Linked DNA regions of Arabidopsis thaliana. The protein of the gene in region 1 interacts with the protein of each later gene in a pairwise test. Each region holds a gene or a part of one and is shown on either strand. Other genes may lie near its edges.

Region 1 (6,026 bases):
AGATGGCAGATAGGCTCTTTCGGTGCTATAACGAGAATCAAAAATATCGTAGCCAAGCGAGAAGATCTTTTGAAGGTTGCAGCTGCAGGACCTTTGGCTGGCTTTTCTCTAGGCTTGATTCTGTTTCTTATAGGGTTATTCGTGCCTCCCAGTGACGGCATTGGCGTTGTAGTTGATGCATCAGTGTTTCACGAGTCCTTCCTTGCTGGTGGTATTGGTAAGCTTTAGCTCTCAATCAAATATGATAAAGTGTTGCAGGCTGAAGCTGGAGAGTTGATCAATGTTTAAATTTTGTTTCTTTTTCTCTTATAGCAAAGCTCCTACTAGGTGATGCACTCAAAGAAGGAACTTCAATATCTCTTAACCCACTTGTGATCTGGGCATGGGCTGGACTTCTCATCAATGGCATTAACAGTATCCCTGCGGGGGAGCTCGATGGGGGCAAAATAGCTTTCTCCATTTGGGGAAGAAAGGTAACACTAATTAGAATGACTTAAAAAGCTTAACAATGTCTTATACTATTCGTCTTTGTGTTCGAGTCCATTCCCCATAGTAGATTGATTAGGTAGTAATCAGAATTATATATGTCTCCTAATGATTTCAGACCGCAACACGGCTCACGGGTGCATCCATAGCGCTTTTGGGCTTATCGGCGTTGTTCAGCGACGTGGCATTCTACTGGGTGGTTCTGATATTCTTCCTGCAGCGTGGACCGATTGCGCCGCTGGCTGAAGAAATCACGGTGCCTGATGATAAGTATGTGTCTCTTGGAATCCTGGTTTTGTTTCTCTCCTTGCTTGTGTGTTTGCCTTACCCATTTGCTTTCACGGGCAATGAAGCCATGATGATTGGCTTGTGAAGTGACTCATATCATTACACCGCACAATAAGAAATCAGAGATATAGTTGTAACTTTTTGTTTTGGTCTCTATGCTCTACTTTGACATCTAAAGTTATGTTTTTGTTCTTGCTCTATATTTTTACTCTCATGGAGCAGTTTAGGAAACAAACCAAATTTCTCACAGAAATGTGAACTAATATTTTGCTAATCAGTTATTAATTACGTGTGGGATTGTCAATCTAGGTTTTGAAAAAGAGACTTTCACTGGTTGGAAAAACAGAAAAGACCAACTTTGTTTATGGGGTAGTGATAATCATATTGTTAACAACTTTGTATATATATATATATATATCAGACGAATTAATAGAAATTTAAACTACATTATAGACATGCGAGAGTATGTGACAAATTTGATGCTATAACGACGTTAAATTCTCTATTCAAGAAAAACAATTCAAAACTTTAATAACATAAAGAAATGACTAGGAAGGATTAATATTAGTATAATAGAAGGAAAGAATAATATTATGAAATTGGAAGGTAAAAGATAAGAAGAAAAGCACATGCTTTTAATGTGGATGGATTTGATTTTGGTTGGTAGCAACTAAAGGCTAAAGCAACCTTCCAATTTACATAGTCCTACTATGATCGTTGTTTATTCAAGAAAATGTCAAAGTTTCTACATTCGTACTATTATATAATTGACTGAAGAAATTAAATACTAATCTGGTAAAAGAAGTAGTATTGTTAACATTCCGCTATCAGGCATGTTACCAACTTTTCTATGTTTTTATTTTTGTTGGAAAAAAATGAAAAACGCATACTTGAGGATTGTCTTGTAATGGCATTAATAAAGAAAGACTTTTCGAACACTAAAGTAAGAAGATAAGGGTTTTTGACTTTTGAGAAAGACGACCGTTCGTATCGTTTGCTTATGAAACTGATGCAATATCTTTGTGAATGACAAGTTTGCTTAGTTTTTCCGAAAAGGGTTCGCTGCCTTCATGGTTCATGCACATGACTTATAGTGAAAAAATGAGGGAAATTGGAAAATACAGGTAAGGGGTATTAAAGTAAATTGCTAAATAAGTCACATGGTCATCTTCTTTATAAATATGCCACATCTCGTAGAATAATCACTAATCAAATTTACTCATTTAGCCGTCACCTCTGAATCTTCTTCTCCGATCTTCAAACATTCCGGCCGCCACCGAGTTCTTAGCCGTTACAATGTCTTCCTCTATGAACGTAGCGACGATGCAAGCACTGACTTTCTCTCGCCGGCTTCTCCCTTCTGTTGCTTCTCGTTATCTCTCTTCTTCTTCTGTGACCGTTACTGGATACTCCGGTAGAAGCTCGGCTTACGCGCCTTCTTTCCGTTCGATTAAATGCGTCTCTGTTTCTCCGGAAGCTTCAATAGGTGAAGCAATGCTCTTCGTTTTTTCTTTTAATTTGGGTTTTTGATTGTTTGATTTTTTACCGATAAAATGCGGGAAAATGGTTGAACGACATTTATGTCAAGCTTATAATTTCTATTCTCTGACTAATTTGATTGGTTTGATTGTGAATGTGAATCTTCTTAAGCGTGAAAACAGTTCTGATACATGTTTTTGGACTTGTTCTCTGCAGTAAGTGATACAAAGAAGTTGGCAGATGCTTCTAAGAGTACAAACCTTATACCAATTTACCGCTGTATATTCTCTGATCAGCTTACTCCTGTTCTTGCTTACCGTTGTTTGGTCAAAGAAGATGACCGTGAAGCTCCTAGCTTTCTTTTCGAGTCCGTTGAGCCTGGTTCTCAGATGTCTAGCGTTGTAAGTATATAATCTTTCTTTGTACATATCCTTTTTATCTGTTAATATGTCTCAGTTCCTAATTGTTTCTTTGATGTGATTGGTCTCGATAGGGTCGTTATAGCGTTGTTGGGGCTCAGCCTGCGATGGAGATCGTGGCAAAGGAGAATAAAGTTATTGTAATGGATCACAACAATGAAACCATGACTGAGGAATTCGTCGAAGATCCAATGGAGATCCCAAGAAAAATCTCTGAGAAATGGAACCCTGATCCTCAACTAGTTCAGGACCTTCCAGATGCGTTTTGTGGTAAGAGATTCTTCTTTATTGTTTATAATGAGTCACTTTCTAGAATAGTTAACTTAAAAGGAATGAAGCCACTAGTTTTAAGGACTGGGGATATGTGATAATGGTATGGATGTCTTCGAGACAAGCTCTTGCTTTTGAGTGATCTTTTTAAATGTCAAGTTTCATGGATTTCTATCTCAAAACCATTTAGCAATTAATGCACGTAACCCGTGTTCACTACATACCATATCATATGGGGTCATGGGATTCCTAGTTGTAAACATGTACGTCTGATTTCCCAAGAGGCAAGAGCAATTGATAAAGTAGAGAACTTTCTTATGCTGGTCATTCTGTCCCTGTTGTGATCTAGTTTTCCCTCTACCTTTTGTGCCCAATTCGCCTTTACGTTCTTGAATATCTTTTCTCGCGCTTTTAGATAGAAGATTGATTGCCCTTAGTGTTTTAGTTTACTTTTTGTGCTTTATCTTGTTCATGAAGTGGTATCTCTTAGTAAGATTTCTTTATTATGATAGGTGGGTGGGTTGGTTTTTTCTCGTACGACACTGTTCGTTATGTTGAGAAGAGGAAATTGCCATTTTCAAAGGCCCCTGAGGATGATAGGAACTTGCCAGACATGCATCTTGGTCTGTACGACGATGTAGTTGTATTTGATCACGTGGAAAAGGTAATCATTTTGTCACCATCCATGTTTTATGATTAACTGAGACATGCATCTTAGTTTCCTTTTTATGCGTTATCTTGTTCTTGAAGTGGTGACTAGAGATTCCTTGTAAAATTTTACAGAAAGCATATGTCATTCACTGGATTAGACTAGATGGGAGCCTTCCTTACGAAAAGGCATACAGTAATGGAATGCAACATTTGGAGAACTTGGTGGCCAAGTTACATGATATTGAGCCGTGAGTATCTCTTTGAATTGATTAAGTTTTTCAGCTCCGTTTGGCTACTATTCTTAAAAGTTGTTCATTTTTCTTCCGCTGTGAATCTATGCAGGCCAAAACTGGCTGCAGGTAACGTGAATCTTCAGACACGACAATTTGGGCCATCTTTGGATAATTCAAACGTGACATGCGAAGAGTACAAGGAGGCTGTGGTCAAGGCCAAAGAACATATACTTGCAGGAGACATATTTCAGATCGTGCTGAGTCAACGTTTTGAGCGGCGAACATTTGCAGACCCCTTTGAAGTTTATAGAGCACTAAGAGTTGTGAATCCAAGTCCGTATATGGGTTATTTGCAGGTTGGTGATGGAGAGAACATTTCTCAACAACTTTGCATTTTGTACTTGTGGATAAACCATCAATGCTGTTTTCGTTCTGTTATTCAGGCTAGAGGATGCATTTTGGTAGCATCAAGTCCAGAAATTCTCACCAAAGTAAAGCAGGTAAATCTCTCTTTTCTCAAAGCTGCATTAATCTTTATATCATTTTTGAAGCTAACCTTTATATCATATTTGAAGCAGAACAAGATAGTGAATCGGCCATTGGCAGGAACCAGCAAGAGAGGGAAGAATGAAGTTGAGGATAAGAGATTAGAAAAGGAACTGCTAGAGAATGAAAAGCAATGTGCTGAGCACATCATGTTGGTTGATCTCGGTCGCAACGATGTTGGAAAGGTTACGAAATACGGATCAGTGAAAGTAGAGAAGCTTATGAACATCGAACGTTATTCCCATGTTATGCATATAAGCTCCACGGTAATTGTTAATTAGATAACTAGTAGTAGATCAAATATCTAAAGTCTCGCATAGTGTGTTCCTTAATATCTTAAGTTCTAATTCTGTGTGTAGGTGACAGGAGAATTACAAGATGGTTTGACTTGCTGGGACGTACTACGTGCGGCTTTACCAGTGGGAACAGTTAGTGGTGCACCAAAGGTCAAAGCTATGGAACTAATCGATGAGCTAGAGCCAACGAGGCGTGGACCATACAGTGGCGGTTTTGGTGGAGTCTCCTTCACTGGTGACATGGACATTGCTTTATCCCTTAGGACAATCGTTTTTCCGACAGCATGTCAATACAATACAATGTACTCTTACAAGGATGCTAACAAACGGCGTGAGTGGGTGGCTTATCTTCAAGCTGGAGCTGGTGTAGTAGCTGATAGTGACCCGCAAGACGAACACTGTGAGTGCCAGAACAAAGCCGCTGGTCTTGCTCGAGCCATCGACTTGGCTGAATCTGCATTTGTGAAAAAATGATTGTGCCCAAGAACAGAGGCTGGCTTTCTTTGAACTCCGAGTTCATGTGTATAAAACAGTTACAAGCAGAACAAAGTTTTTTCTTTTTCTTGATTTTGTGAGAATTGCAATTAGACTCCATTAATGAAGCTCTGAAAAATGTTACAATAGAAACCATGGTCAATAATATTCAGCTATTCTCCCAAACTTGATTCTTCTTTAACCAACAACTGTCGAGCTTTTCCTTTTCTTTGGATTATTGTTTTCTTGATCCACATACTTGGCAGCAGAACGATATCGGATCGCCTTCATGCTATTGTCAACCTTTTTCCACTCGATCACCTGCAAAGACGGCAAATAGCGAGTTGAGGATGCATTCAAGGATGTCAAAGATGAACAGGCTAGAGAGATGAGTACACAAGATAAGTCCATAGAAATGGGTGTTGGATAATGCCTTTTTAGCGTTTAAAGCTTCTTGCTTTGTCTCAAATTCAATAAAACCATAACCAGCATATCTTCCCTTAGTCCTCTCTGGAAGCCCAACGCTCTTGATCTGTCCAAATGGAGTGAAAAGCTGTCTTACTTCTTTCATAGTTGCTTCAAAAGCTATATTTTTCACATGTAACTTTGTCAAAATTGTGTCCTTGTCTAAATCTTTCCCAACCGTTCCACTCGGCTTGTTTTTAGAGAAGCTCAAGATCAAAGCATGCCCATCCACAACAGTTCCCTAGGAGCAAACAAAAAATTGTCACCCTACTTCATCGAGTCCAATCAACTTCAAGTTTCAAATTAAAGAGACTTAACTAGGATAATATACCTGTAGATCTCTGTAGACACTGGTCGCTGTCTCTTCGGAGTCAAATTCTACAAAACCATATAAAAAACAGACATGATGGTTAACTGCA
Region 2 (4,444 bases), 5.4 Mb from region 1:
TGCTGAATCAGTTTCAAAAGGAGGAAGAAATGGAACCTTTAGCCTGAAAACAGCATCCACGGCCATTTCTGCAAAATGTTCCTTGTCCTGTGAGAGAATTTTGGAACATAAAGTAGTCATCGCAATCTTCAACAAGTCTGACCTAAACTTCTCTGCATTGACAAAAATACAATGCTGTAAAATAACAGTGTGATTTCCGTTCTGTATTCAACTGAAAGGAAATCACCGCTTGAACCCAACAGTCGAAGTAATCACACAAACAAGAAAATGCTATACTTAAATATGTCAGCATAACAAGGTTTAACCATCTCTATAATGATTACCTGCATTGTCCTTGTTATCAATGACTCTTTTCAGTAAAGCATTACGAGCACATTCCGAAGCCATTCTGTAACCTAAGAAACCAGAAAACGAAAAAATTAGAAATCATTGCCATAGTGAGAGAAGCTGATACAAAGTTGACATCTTAACACTTAAAGCTCCAAAAGTGTACCTGCTATGATGGTCATAGGGTGAATCTTAGAAGCCACAAGCTTTTCTGCTTCCCTCAGAAGCTCGCCGGCCAAGACAACAACAGAGGTAGTTCCATCACCAACCTCATCATCTTGAACTTTCGAGATGTCTGAAGAACAAACCAGATACAACGAACTGTGAGAGAAAACCCAACTAAGAAAAAACGAATGTGAAAACTTCATGCCAGAATGTCGCAGGGAAATTACATACCAACAAGAACTTTAGCTGCAGGGTTGTCTATGTGAAGTGACTTGAGAATAGTAGCACCATCGTTAGTAACAGTGACCGCATGACCTCTACCAGTAGATTGCAAGATTTTATCCTAAACAATAATAAAAAGGATTCAACAATAATCAATAGAACCAAATTGAAAGTTTGTAGCTTTCTAAATATTCAGAGATCGGAAATTACCATGCCCTTTGGCCCTAAAGTAGACTTAACCAGATCACTGATAGCCATTGCACCAACAAATGATGCCTAAAAGAGCAACAACAAAAGAAAAGAAAATCAGATTTAAACAGTAGAAGAGTGAATCTGAAAAACCCTAAATCCTAATCGATTCAAAAGACTCACCATCCTCGCACGTTCTCCCTTCTCTTCACTAGCATCATCTTTGAAGATCTTATCGATCTAAATACGAAATAGCTAAGTTCAGTTAACGGAGAGCACTGGGGAAAAGCAAAAGGATTGAAAGAGACGACGGAGGAACATTACCGGCATCGGGAAGAGCGGAAAAAGAAGAAGGAGGCTTCTTCAGTATCGGAGATATCCAAGTTAGTCGAATCTGAGACTAGCGAGAAACAATAGATGGGATCGTTCACGAAGAACGAACAAGCCGAGAGGATCTCGAAATATTGAGTGTGCTTTTGAAGAAGAGTAGAAAATGAGAGGAGAGAGCCAAAACCCAGATCTTTCGGAACCCTAAATGAAACTCGTAAAGACCAAACTACCCTCGTATTTCCCAGATTTCTTATGCGCCCTTCAGTAAAAACTAAAAAGTTTAGATTAACCCTTAACCAAAAAGTTATAAGTTACATTAAGAAGTAAATTTTATAGTTTCGACAATTTTGCATTTTGTTTGATTATATAGAGGAAAAAAAAAAATGTTCCATATACAAATTTGAATTTGGTGATGATTTAGCGGTCGAATACAAAAACAGAAATAAATTAATTCGTGATTTGTATGCGAATATTGTTACTAAAAAAAACTATAAATGTAAAGAGGCTTATAAAATAGAAAGAGAAACATTATAAATGTAAGCAGTCAAGGTCCATTTTAGAAGTCATTTTAAGACGACTAAGCCCAACAGTACTTTAAGAGCCCAATGAATCAAGGTCCAGCAAACTCAATTAGTTTAACGTCTCAGCCACTTATAAATTATACACGTTTGGAGTTCCGGATAACCGAAATGAGAAAGCATGTCCCACATAGAAGGCCAACGACACCGTATCATATTCGAGCACGTTTCTAATTACCCTCTTGTTGTCTTTTACTGTCGTAGCACCAAAAGTCAAACAATAAAAATCAATATCTATCGCCAGGTGTCAAATTACAGGAGCTTCTGAGAAGGATAAATCTCGGAGGTTCCCGGTCTGAACGACGTAGAGACGAAGCGAAACAAAAGTACTCTAAGGGAGAGAAGTATCAAAATTCTCATCGGAAAAAGACAGATCTACAAATTTTGAGAGACAAGCCATGACTAAGGTGAAAGATGAGCCACGCGCTTCCGTTGAAGGTGGATGTGGTGTTGCCGACGGTGACGGCGGCGCGGCTGAGATCGGCGGTACCGGATCTGTTGAGAAATCGATTAACGAAGTTAGGTATGAGCTGTGTTTACTGTTGATTTCACATGTTTTTATCTGTTTCTCTCTTTGCTTTGAGTTTAGTACTTAAAATTGTATCTTGTTTCTGATAAGGAAGATCAGCATTTCGATCTGGTTACTTTAGTTTCTATTTAGGGAAAGTCATATTTCTCAATGGAACCAATTTGTTTTTTGGCTGGAACAATTGGATTCTTAACAAACTTGTGTTTTTCAAAGTCCTTTAATGCATACATAAGTTTTCATGTGAATTTGATTAATAGAACTTCACCGTTAACATGTGAAATTGGAGAGACTGGATTCATATGTGGAGAGTTTTCTTAATGTTGCATCAATAAGTCCATCTTTATAGTGTCGGTCACAAGTTTAATAGATCTTCTGCTATTGAAGGTCCACGGAGATTCAAACCGCTGAGCCAACGGTTCCTCCAAATCAACTTACTATTTTCTTTGGTGGAAGTGTTACTGTGTTTGATGGACTTCCATCAGAAAAGGTTGGTCCATTAGAGCTTTGTTGTTGTCAGAAAAACTTCAGAATTTCTGTTCTCACTGTGATCTATGCCTATAGGTTCAAGAAATCCTTCGTATTGCTGCTAAAGCAATGGAGACAAAGAATTCTACAAGCATCAGTCCTGTCTCATCGCCAGCACTGAACAGAGCTCCTTCTTTCTCAAGCACATCTAATGTGGCATCACCAGCTGCACAGCCATTTCCTATTCAGCCAATCTCGTTTTGCAGATCCACGGCTGGTAAGTATTCGATTCAACTGGTTATAGTAATCTTCAAACCTTGAAAATGGATACTCTCATTAGTTTCTTACAATTATGTTTGCCGTAACAGATCTACCTATTGCAAGGAGGCATTCGCTTCAACGATTCCTCGAGAAAAGACGGGACAGGTATGCAGCCTTTAAAATTACACTTCATCCTTCTCCATTTCAATGGAAATTCAAATCTGATCTATTTTATTCAGTTTTTGATTGATTACTAATACAGAGCTTGTTAATGTACCTGTGAGAGACTTGTAAAGACAGATTGATCATAATGTTTAACCTTGATATTGCATCTAACAATAACATTCACTTTTTTTTATCTGCAGATTGGTCAACAAAAACCCTTACCCTACTTCAGACTTCAAAAAGACAGATGTCCCAACAGGCAATGTCTCTATCAAGGAGGAATTTCCAACTGCTTAGCAGAAGATCAAACCTCCACATTAAGCTTATAAGCAAACTAAGTAAAACGTTTTGTCAATATAGTAATTAATATGATAATCTATCATGTACGCTGCTGTGTGTAATGTGTTGTATGATAGTGTCTGTATAGGTTTGCTAGACAAACCGAAGATTGTTTCCATGTCTGGGAGTGGTCAGATATGTTTGCCATTTTACAATTCTACTGAAGAAACTATTGTAGTTAGTAACACTGTCCTAGAGTCTATCTAACTAATGACTCTTTGATGTTATGTTATTGAACTTGTCATCTCTTCAAGATACAATTGTGTGTAAAGTAAAGAAGTCTGTGTTGTTATTATAAGCTTTCATACAAAAGACATTGAATCTATATGTAAAATGGGATTTATAATTGTGAATGATGAACAACAATTCGGAGATGTTTCAAGGAAAGACAATGGGAGTGTGCCATAACTGATTGAAATTTAAACGTACATATATTCACCTCCGCGGACAGCATTCTCTGCGCCCTTCCTCTCTTCTTCGGCCTCTTTCTCTCTCTCTTTCCAGTTTTCGTATTTCTGATCGTCTGTTGGTAATTCATGGCGGCATATAGGGCAAGAGTTATGCTCGTCCTGCCATAAAACAATATGAGCATAAGCTTTATGTTCTTACTTACTAGTAAGCTTGAAAGAATGGGATTTTTTTTTTTATACCAGCCAAGGCTTTAGGCAAGGAGGGTGAAATGTGTGCTTGCATGGCAATTCCTGCATCTTGTCGCCAATAACTAGATTCTCCTTGCAGATGCAACATTCTGCCTCTGCTCCAAACTTTTTAAGCAATTCCTCGGTGAAAATAATGACTGGGAGTTTCTCTACAACTTCTTTACTTGCCGGTGGAGCTCTTGGTGGTCCACCATCATCTAGTATCTGCATAGAAC

Evidence for each region.
Region 2: the proteins of ASA1 (region 1) and JAZ12 interact in binary tests that used the Arabidopsis thaliana proteins (3 or more experiments, as listed by UniProt).

The regions. Positions count from the first base shown.
Region 1 is NC_003076.8:1,718,856-1,724,881, reverse strand, and holds ASA1 (anthranilate synthase alpha subunit 1), read left to right. Parts: upstream 1-1,971; 5' UTR 1,972-2,070; coding exon 2,071-2,260; intron 2,261-2,469; coding exon 2,470-2,654; intron 2,655-2,746; coding exon 2,747-2,942; intron 2,943-3,454; coding exon 3,455-3,606; intron 3,607-3,725; coding exon 3,726-3,841; intron 3,842-3,935; coding exon 3,936-4,326; intron 4,327-4,404; coding exon 4,405-4,638; intron 4,639-4,715; coding exon of another isoform or gene 4,716-4,731; coding exon 4,732-5,142; 3' UTR 5,143-5,307; downstream 5,308-6,026. Other genes in the region: EGY2 (ethylene-dependent gravitropism-deficient and yellow-green-like 2), read left to right, coding at 10-217, 313-473, 605-859; AT5G05735 (uncharacterized protein), read right to left, coding at 4,716-4,916; AT5G05720 (RNA-binding (RRM/RBD/RNP motifs) family protein), read right to left, coding at 5,341-5,522, 5,629-5,848. UniProt on the Arabidopsis thaliana protein: Part of a heterotetrameric complex that catalyzes the two-step biosynthesis of anthranilate, an intermediate in the biosynthesis of L-tryptophan.
Region 2 is NC_003076.8:7,088,674-7,093,117, forward strand, and holds JAZ12 (jasmonate-zim-domain protein 12), read left to right. Parts: upstream 1-2,030; 5' UTR 2,031-2,209; coding exon 2,210-2,334; intron 2,335-2,724; coding exon 2,725-2,827; intron 2,828-2,901; coding exon 2,902-3,082; intron 3,083-3,173; coding exon 3,174-3,231; intron 3,232-3,241; exon of another isoform or gene 3,242-3,431; coding exon 3,432-3,528; 3' UTR 3,529-3,866; downstream 3,867-4,444. Other genes in the region: AT5G20890 (TCP-1/cpn60 chaperonin family protein), read right to left, coding at 37-152, 324-395, 494-622, 724-835, 925-990, 1,087-1,143, 1,228-1,233; AIP2 (RING/U-box superfamily protein), read right to left, coding at 3,990-4,139, 4,221-4,433. UniProt on the Arabidopsis thaliana protein: Repressor of jasmonate responses.